Drosophila melanogaster: one gene and its partner. The protein of the gene in region 1 purifies or fractionates together with the protein of each later gene. This does not show direct contact. Each region holds a gene or a part of one and is shown on either strand. Other genes may lie near its edges. The genes, in order: Irp-1A and Cisd2.

Evidence for each region.
Region 2: the proteins of Irp-1A (region 1) and Cisd2 purify together in Drosophila melanogaster (affinity purification with western blotting; one study listed by BioGRID). This does not show direct contact.

Annotation. Positions count from the first base shown.
Region 1 is NT_033777.3:22,720,778-22,726,802, reverse strand, and holds Irp-1A (iron regulatory protein 1A), read left to right. Parts: upstream 1-2,215; 5' UTR 2,216-2,278; coding exon 2,279-2,291; exon of another isoform or gene 2,292-2,351; coding exon 2,352-2,444; exon of another isoform or gene 2,445-2,455; intron 2,456-2,515; coding exon 2,516-2,685; intron 2,686-2,751; coding exon 2,752-3,481; intron 3,482-3,543; coding exon 3,544-3,644; intron 3,645-3,707; coding exon 3,708-4,479; intron 4,480-4,543; coding exon 4,544-5,373; 3' UTR 5,374-5,483; downstream 5,484-6,025. Other genes in the region: RNF220 (ring finger protein 220), read left to right, coding at 534-1,730.
Region 2 is NT_033777.3:29,221,442-29,225,337, forward strand, and holds Cisd2 (CDGSH iron sulfur domain 2), read right to left. Parts: upstream 1,988-3,896; 5' UTR 1,899-1,987; coding exon 1,802-1,898; intron 1,329-1,801; coding exon 1,105-1,328; intron 1,041-1,104; coding exon 960-1,040; 3' UTR 776-959; downstream 1-775. Other genes in the region: eEF1gamma (eukaryotic translation elongation factor 1 gamma), read left to right, coding at 1-335; Brd8 (bromodomain containing 8), read left to right, coding at 2,129-3,896.

The DNA of each region.
Region 1 (6,025 bases):
CTGTGCTTTATAAAAATTTCCTAACAGTGAGGGAGAGACACTATCTGTCACATGTTATATCGGGCATGTAAACAACGCAATCTGATAATATATATATATTGCTGTATTAAGACCAACCAGAGTAGAGTAAAAATTAAGAAATCAGTACGTTTAATTATTTTATTGTAAGACTTAAGGTCAAAAGAGTTGTTGGAATGCAAAATGCAAACTTTGAAGTTTTAATTAACACGGAATTCAAACAAATAATCAATTATTATAAAGATATTTTTAAGTGAATAAAATTTTAATTATTGCTTAAGCATATTAATCACTGTGCTTGGCGCTTTTGTAACGGTTTTACGATGTATATCGCAATGACCACTTCCACTGACACGAAAAATAACGAAATCAGTGTGACCGTTTTCCACCGTACGAGAACGTAAGAAATCGGCGTCGCGTGGCTTGGACAGAGATTATCGAACAAAACAAAATCCGACTACAGAATCTTTTAACTTCGTTTACCCTTAAGAGTCCGCGGTGGATCCGAGGAATCGATGGCTACGGACACGGTGTCCAACGGCGAGAACTTCGCCCAGCACTTGAGCAGAAACAGCGACGACGACGTGATCTGTCCCACATGCGACGTGAAGATCAAGCGCAGTCAGGTGGCCGATCACTGCCAAGTGGAGATGGAGCGATTGCACAATCCCATTAGCGCTGTCACTCCACCGACCCCAACTAGCGGAGCAACCGCGTCCGAGGAATCCGGTTCGGTATCGGGGGGCAGACAACCGTGGAGCGTGTTCCAGCGGGTGCAGCGCAATCGGCAGGCCCGTCAGCGCCAGCGCACCAGGAAGCGTCCGGCTTCTCCTGCCCCACCAGCAACTGTAAATCCTACGGTAGCAGCTGCTCCTCCTCCAGCTGCAGCAACTCCGTCCGTAGCTGCTGCCGAATCGAGCCAACCCACCTGTCCCGTGTGCAACCACAACTTTCCGCAGTCCAACATCCAAGAGCATGTTAATCATTGCCTGCGCCAGAGCCGCCGCAATGGTCAGGCCAATGGTGAGCGGCATTCGAGTGAGGACTCGGAGGACAGCGAGGAATATGAAGAGTACGAGTGGGCGGGACAGAAGCGCATTCGCGTCTCCACTCTCGTGCAAGGAGGCTATTCCGCCCTGGGCCTGGGCCAGAGAATCAAATACAATGGCAGTCAGCAGGCGCAGGACGACGAGGACGAAGATCTCAACGTGGACGAGGATGACACTCACATCTATGGTCCTACGCAGTATGGCGAGGGCGATGTGATCCCACTGGTCAACGAGGACACAGAGGGAAATGTTTCCGAGGCGGATGTTACCAGCTACGTGCGCCGACTTATCTCCTCCAGCGATGGGCCCAAGCCAAACCATTCCAGCGAAGCCACCGAGCAAGAGCCTGCCAGCACAAGCAACGTGGAGGCTCCACCAGCCAGCGAGGAGCCGTCTACGTCGCGGTCCACGCGATCCACCTCCCAAAACCAGCAGCAGATCATCGAATCGCTGAAGGCCAAGCTGCGGCTCTACGAAAAGCAGGCGCAGGGCAAGTACAAGTGCCTGATCTGCATCGACGACTACAAGAATCCCGCCATCTCCGTGTCCTGCTGGCACGTCCACTGCGAGCAGTGTTGGTTGCAGACGCTCGGCGCGCGAAAGCTGTGCCCGCAGTGCAACTCGATTACCACGCCGAAGGACCTGCGACGAATCTACCTGTAGACGTCCATCACAGACTTGTTATCCCCGCTGCCAAATTGCTTGCGCCATAAAACAGGCTTTGCATCCCGACGCAGCTTTAGATGATAATCCCCTATACATATTATTTATATAGATTACAAATACCAATTATACTACGTGACATTACAATAAGCCTACCATGTAACTATTGCAATAAACCGCAGAAAACATAATTAATATTTAAGTTTATTTAACGAAATTAGCATGTAGGAAGGGAAAAGCGTTTAAAGACATGCAAACAAGTTATTTTAAATACCTTATTTTGAACTAAAATAAAAAAGCAATCAATCCAATATTATATCCAATATTATTTTCGAATCACAAAAATGATAAATTATTCCACTATAATTTACAAATGTTTCATTTTAAGTAATAAATAAATATTTTTTACTGTGTACCGGTTTGTTTTCATGTTCAGTTATCGATAATATAATGTTTGCGTTAGTGATGAGCAAGTTTTGCCTGGTAGCGGTTCCTCACGCGCTCATCTCTATATCACATTGCTTGGTTTTCTGTTTAATTTTTCCACAATGTCCGGCTCCGGTGGGATTTAATTGGAAAAAGGAGTATTTGATCTGTACGCTAATCCTGTCTTCCTTGCAGGCGCCAATCCCTTTGCCCAGTTCCAGGAGTCATTCACCCAGGACGGCAACGTCTACAAGTATTTTGATCTGCCCTCCATCGACAGCAAATATGGTTGGTAATCGTTATTGTTGTTCGTTATCATTATTGTTGTTATCTTTATGAATATTATTAACCCCCCACAGAGTCACTGCCCTTTTCCATTCGCGTTCTGCTGGAATCAGCGGTGCGCAACTGTGACAACTTTCATGTGCTGGAGAAGGATGTGCAGAGCATCCTGGGATGGACTCCATCGCTGAAGCAGGAAACCAGCGATGTGGAAGTCTCCTTCAAGCCAGCTCGTGTTATATTGCAGGTGTGGATTATTGCATCACATAGATTATGTTTGTATGTGACTTCTTAAGATATTCCCTGCTTTCAGGACTTTACTGGCGTTCCCGCCGTCGTGGATTTTGCTGCCATGCGGGATGCTGTCCGCGAGCTGGGCGGCAATCCTGAGAAAATCAATCCCATCTGCCCTGCCGACCTGGTCATCGACCATTCCGTTCAGGTGGATTTCGTTCGCTCCTCGGACGCATTGACCAAGAACGAGTCACTAGAGTTCCAGCGCAACAAGGAACGATTCACCTTCCTCAAATGGGGAGCTCGCGCTTTTGACAATATGCTAATTGTGCCACCCGGCTCTGGCATTGTGCACCAGGTTAACCTGGAGTATCTGGCCCGAGTGGTTTTCGAAAGCGACAGTTCAGCGGACGGATCTAAGATCCTTTATCCGGATAGCGTTGTGGGCACTGACTCCCACACTACAATGATCAATGGATTAGGTGTTCTCGGCTGGGGTGTTGGCGGTATCGAGGCGGAGGCCGTAATGTTGGGCCAGTCCATTTCCATGCTGTTGCCAGAGGTGATTGGCTACAGGCTGGAGGGCAAACTGGGCCCTCTGGCCACATCCACCGATCTGGTGCTGACCATTACCAAGCATTTGCGTCAGCTTGGTGTCGTCGGCAAGTTCGTGGAGTTTTACGGCCCCGGAGTGGCAGAGCTCAGCATCGCGGATCGCGCCACCATCAGCAACATGTGTCCGGAATATGGAGCCACTGTGGGTTACTTCCCAATCGATGAAAACACGCTGAGTTACATGCGCCAAACCAGTGAGTCAATCTTAAAAATTATCTAAATTTATTACTTGATATCCATGGATGTGGATCATTAGATCGCTCCGAGAAGAAAATCGATATTATCCGGAAGTATTTGAAGGCCACTCGACAACTTCGTGACTATTCCCTTGTGGATCAGGATCCCCAATACACGGAGGTAAGTGAGATTCTGTTTTTCCAATGCAAAGACATACTAACGAATCACTTTTTTACCCTGCAGTCTGTAACTTTGGACTTATCCACCGTGGTGACCTCGGTTTCGGGGCCCAAGCGACCGCACGATCGCGTTTCAGTTTCCAGCATGTGCGAAGACTTCAAGTCGTGCCTCATAAGTCCTGTCGGCTTCAAGGGATTCGCCATACCACCGAGTGCATTGGCTGCAAGTGGTGAATTCCAATGGGACGATGGGAAGAGCTATAAGATAGGTCATGGATCTGTTGTGATTGCCGCCATCACCTCGTGCACGAACACTTCGAATCCCTCGGTGATGTTGGGCGCTGGTCTGCTGGCCAAGAATGCCGTGCAGAAGGGCTTGAGTATTTTGCCGTATATCAAGACCTCATTGTCACCAGGATCTGGCGTGGTTACCTACTATCTGAGGGAATCCGGTGTGATTCCCTATCTGGAGCAGCTGGGCTTCGACATTGTGGGCTATGGCTGTATGACCTGCATTGGCAACTCGGGCCCGCTCGATGAGAACGTAGTGAACACCATCGAGAAGAACGGACTGGTTTGCTGTGGCGTCCTGTCGGGCAATCGCAATTTCGAGGGTCGCATCCATCCCAATACTAGGGCCAATTATCTGGCCAGTCCGCTGCTGGTGATTGCCTACGCGATTGCCGGCCGTGTGGATATTGATTTCGAGATCGAACCGCTGGGCGTGGATTCCAACGGCAAGGAGGTGTTCCTGCGCGATATCTGGCCAACGCGCAGTGAGATTCAGGAGGTAGAGCATAAGCACGTCATTCCCGCCATGTTCCAGGAGGTGTACAGTGAGTATAGCTAGCTGACTAAGATTTTTCCGCAGCTCTAGGCTAACTGTGTCCGCTATCACAGGCAAAATTCAACTGGGATCCAGGGACTGGCAAACGTTGGAGGTGTCGGATAGCAAGTTGTATCCATGGAGTGAAATATCAACATACATCAAACTACCACCGTTCTTCGAGGGTATGACTCGTGCGCTGCCCAAACTTAAAGGTATCGAGAAGGCTCGCTGTCTGCTGCTTCTCGGTGATTCAGTGACCACCGATCATATCTCGCCAGCCGGATCCATTGCACGAAAGTCACCGGCAGCGCGCTATTTGTCGGAAAGGGGTCTAACGCCGCGCGACTTTAATTCGTATGGATCCAGACGTGGCAATGATGCGGTGATGGCACGCGGAACCTTTGCCAACATCCGTCTGGTCAATAAACTGGCATCCAAGACGGGACCCAGCACACTGCACGTGCCCAGTGGCGAGGAGATGGACATCTTCGATGCGGCGGAACGGTATGCGAGCGAAGGAACACCTTTGGTTCTGGTCGTAGGCAAGGACTACGGCAGTGGCAGCTCACGTGATTGGGCCGCCAAGGGGCCATTTCTGCTGGGCATCAAGGCGGTGATTGCTGAATCGTACGAGCGCATTCACCGCTCAAATCTGGTGGGCATGGGCATCATTCCGCTGCAGTTCTTGCCTGGCCAGAGCGCCGATACCCTGAAACTGAGTGGCAGGGAGGTGTACAACATTGTCCTGCCCGAGGGCGAACTGAAGCCGGGCCAGAGGATTCAGGTCGATGCTGATGGCAATGTCTTTGAGACCACGTTGCGTTTCGACACCGAGGTGGACATAACGTACTACAAGAATGGCGGCATTTTGAACTATATGATACGCAAAATGCTGGATTAGTTAGTGCGTTCGTTGACTTTTATATTCCATATGCATTTCTAGGCGACTTTTAATTGTTATTATGTGCTGGGAAATAAAATTTGACATTCATCTGTGAGATGATAATTATTAAAAAAAAAATATTTCAAATATTTTATAATATTTTAAATTGCGCGCTCTGGATGTTATCGATAGCAGAAATGCCGATGGCCAAACCAGTCCTGCTAAAAATGCCTAACGCCTGCTGGTGAATCATCGACAAGGCAGCAATAAAATCGAATAGTCCCTGTTATATCGCTGTTAACTTAACATAGTTCGCTGCTTCTTTTTTTGTCCGTCCCGTGGACTTTTCTCCAGAGGATTTTGATTCCAATTCGCAAAAGAAAAACATAAATAAGCAACAGATCGTGTGTTGGCCAATAGCTCTGCAGCCAGTGCTCGATATTCACTTGGAAGAACCGCGCAAAAACGCAACAACGCAGCAGGAAAGTCGCGCCTCCGCCTCCCCACCAAAAAAAAAAAACACAAAAAAAAAGAAAAGATCTCGGATCGCACAGGGTTTTATTTTGGGCAACCGCACTTGGACTGGTGGGTGCTTCGGTTCCCTCGACCTGTGGATAGTGCCCAGTGGCGTCGCGTCGCTTTGGATTATGTCATTTGTTTATGGGGAATT
Region 2 (3,896 bases), 6.5 Mb from region 1:
ACAAATACAACGAGGAGCTGTCCAAGGTGTTCATGTCGTGCAATCTCATCACCGGCATGTTCCAGCGTCTGGACAAGATGCGCAAGGCGGCCTTCGCCTCCGTTTGCCTGTTCGGCGAGGACGGCAACAGCACCATCTCCGGTATCTGGGTGTGGCGCGGACAGGATCTGGCCTTCACGCTCTCCCCCGACTGGCAGATCGACTACGAGGTCTACGACTGGAAGAAGCTCGACGCCAAGAGCGAGGAGACCAAGAAGCTGGTCACCCAGTACTTCTCCTGGTCCGGCACCGACAAGGACGGTCGCAAGTTCAACCAGGGCAAGATCTTCAAGTAATCATCTCTGCCTAGCCCAGCTCCGCTCAAAGCAGCAGCCGCCCTCATTTAGACCAACAACAACAACAGCAGCAGTAACAATAAAGTTTGAGATTTAAAATGCAGGAAGAGCACAATGCCCATTTCTTAAGTTCCAACTGATAAGTACACTAAAGATATCCAATATCTGTCGTGCTGCCTCCCACGTTTGGCGGAATCGTGTGTCTCGCCTCCTGCATTTTGTACTGGAGAATTTGTTTGTAACCGCCTAAGCATAACACAGCATGATATTGTCAACGGAACAGCCGCCTGCAGTCAGAAAATATTTATAAAAAATAAAAGGTTTTCTATTAATAACAGCACGGTTTTCTCTCACACGTGTGTGTATGTGTGTGTGTGGTTTATTTGGTTGTTGGTAAAGGTTAGGTCTGGCATTTATTAGTAATTAGAATTAAGCATATCGATTTGAATTTATGTTTGGGCAATTTTATTGGCTCCTTTTAACTTAATCCATCAATATCATCAATTATTGCTTACAATTACAAGGGTTCAAACAGCTTCGGCCACTACTATTGGTTTTAAAAGCAAACTGGAGCTCAGCGAGAGGAAATGCTAGAACGTTTGTGTATCGATGCACCGCCGCAATCTACTTCTTGATGACAATTGGTCCGACGTTGTCTCCAGTCTGCTTGTTGTGCTCGCCATGACTGCCATCGCAGTAGGGCCACTGCGAATAGAGGATTCAATTGAAAATTTTGTTCACAATATTTCAGAGGTTAGAATGCACTCACGTTCTTGGTCTTCCAGCAGCGACAGAAGGCCGCCTTCTCCGCAATATCCTCCACGTCGATCATGTCCACCACCTTGGGCTCGTTCTTGCGGATGTGGTTGTTGCAGCGTCCGCTGTTTTTGGCCGCGCAGCTGGCCCGTGCCGCCGGACAGTAGGCCAGGTAGGCGGTGTAGCCGAGTCCGGCCACCACCACGGTGGGTGGGATCAGGGCCAACCAATCCTTGACTGCAAACGAAACCAGGTTAATACGGAATGCAGTGCATTTTAAGCTTTATAACTAGATATTTTGGTCGATCAGCCGTAACCGGCACAAGGTCGTTCCCTACACACATATTGGGTTATAAACGCACCAAGATATGCGCATATATGTTTATAGGTATACCCATGTTGGTATGCCTGTATTATGCGTCTATCTAGTTGCCTATCTGCGAGACAAACTTGCTCCAATTATAAATTTCTTGGCGAGCTCAGCAGTTGTTGCATAATCGCTGCAACTTTTTTGCCTGGAAGTGCACACACTGCACTTCCAATTCCCGTTAGCAGCTCCGCAATATCACGCCACATTTGCACCTTAGTAGTCCATTTAGTTGGCCCCCCTAGATGCTGCGTCATTATCGTGGATTTGGGTTTATGTGGGGCGCCCTTTGAAGGCAAATCAAATTCCAATGGGCAAAACCACGCTCATTGCCCAAACTTACAGGAGAGCTTAAACCAGCCGCCGATGCTGTCGGGAACCGGCAGACTTGACAAGTAATTGGGCAGCGAGGACTTCACCAGATGTGATATGGGCTCCATTTCGAAACGCCTTTTTTATTTAACTGGCTATTAAATTCGGAAAACTTGTTTTTGTGTTGCTATCGGTTAGCGGTGCTAGCAAATCGATAAGCCAGTCCTATCGGTATCGCAGTGCTAGGGTCACACTGCATTTTCGACGATAGGCAGTATTACAGATTCGTGTGTAGTCATCGATAGCATTCTGTTTTGTTTACGAATTATTGATTGAAATCAATAAATTGCAGTTTAGAATGTCTGCCGGGGTACAAGAGCGCCTGCAACTGAGCCGCATGCCGCTGGACACGTGGTCGAAGCGGGAGCAGCTCATCCTGGCGTCGGCGGTCTCCTGCAGCGGCGACCAGAACTGGATCACGGTGAGCCGCACGCTGAAGACGATCTGCGGCAATGGCAGCAGTAACCGACCGGCGGACTGGTTCTCGCAGAAGAACTGTGCCATGCAGTACGGCAATCTGCTGGAGAGCGTGGAGGCCACCAAGCGCAAGAAGCGCAGCAGCGAAAGCAGTGCCGGCGTCTCCTCGCCGGCCACCGTGGAGACGCCCACAGAATTGCTGCTCCGTCGGCTCACGGAGGAGCGTCAGGCGGAGATCAAGGCGCAGATGCGTCAGGATCAGGAGACTTACCGACGCATCCAGCGGGAGATTGAGTCGCTGCAATCGGACGCGGTGACCGAGCAGGAGCTGCAGGACATGTGGCTGGAGATCGAGAAGGAGCAGGAGGCGCGCCGCATCGAGGAGATGAAGCTGGAGAATCGCATGCGGGAGCGCGAGCAGCGCAAGAAGGACCTGGCCAGCAACTGGCGAAACAGCAGTCTAGCCGTCAAGCGTTCCAACCAAGCTGCCGACACGACTTCCGTCGATATGGACGTGGAGGACATAAACACCAGTGGCAATGGCAAACAGCAGACGGGTCCTTCGCCTCTACTCACATCTCTCCTGAAATCGCCCACAGGCAATGCACCTGCAACGCCCACCCCAGGAGGAGCTGCACCAGCAGCCGGAGGAACTGGCAGCGTGGCCAGGGCTACGGCGCCAACCATCACCTCGCTGCTGACCAGCGGTCCAAGCTCAGCTGTTGCCAATCAGCCAGTCATCACCATGAAGAGCCCCACAGATGCGGCGTTTATGTCCCGACCTATTACCGGACCTCCGGCCAGTGAGGCTTCTACTACGCCCACACTCGAACGGAGTCCCTCGCAGGCGGCACCCACACTCTCCATGCTGCTAGAGAAGAACATGGCTGCGGCGAAGGCCAACGAAAGCGGAAGCTTGGTAAAGCCAGAGGGGTCAGGAAACCAGGAGCAGGGTGTAGACGAAGCCACTTCTTCTGCAGCTGGCACAGCAGACTCCGACGAGGCGGATCCCAACGAAGCGCAGCTGCTGGAAGTCTTCAAAAACATTGATCAAATAATAGATGACATCGACATTGATATGGCCAGTGTCATTGACGATGAGATTCTGAAAAATGTGGATGACGTCGTAGCCTCGCCATCAAACGATAAAGCCGAAGTTATTGACTTTGAGGACAAGCTGGACGCTTTGAAGCGGGAGCAAAGTAAAAGTTCCCCAGCCAGTGATAAACCAAAATCTGTGGAGCTAGTAATTGGATCCAGCGATGACTCCAACGACAATATACCCCTGGCTGCCGTGGCCTCCCAGGAGAGTAAGGATCGTGGTCAGTCCGGTGGTGAATCTACTAGGGGCACCGAGGACGCAGAGTCCGAGCCGTTGACCAGCGAGGTGGCGGTGGAGGAGATTGGTGAGACCATTACCATTATCAGCACTTCAAGTGAGGATACTGCAGGATCGCCACCCACGAAAATGGAGGAAGATGGGGCCACTGATTCCCTTCCGAAGAAGGAGGATGCCGCGGAAGACAAATCCGAACAGGAAAGTAGCTCCCAAGGACAAAATAAGGCAGGAGGAAGCACGGACGAGCCGGAACTAATAGATCACCAAGCCACTAGGGAAGCACAAAGCAAGTCAGGCAAGGACACAGCGG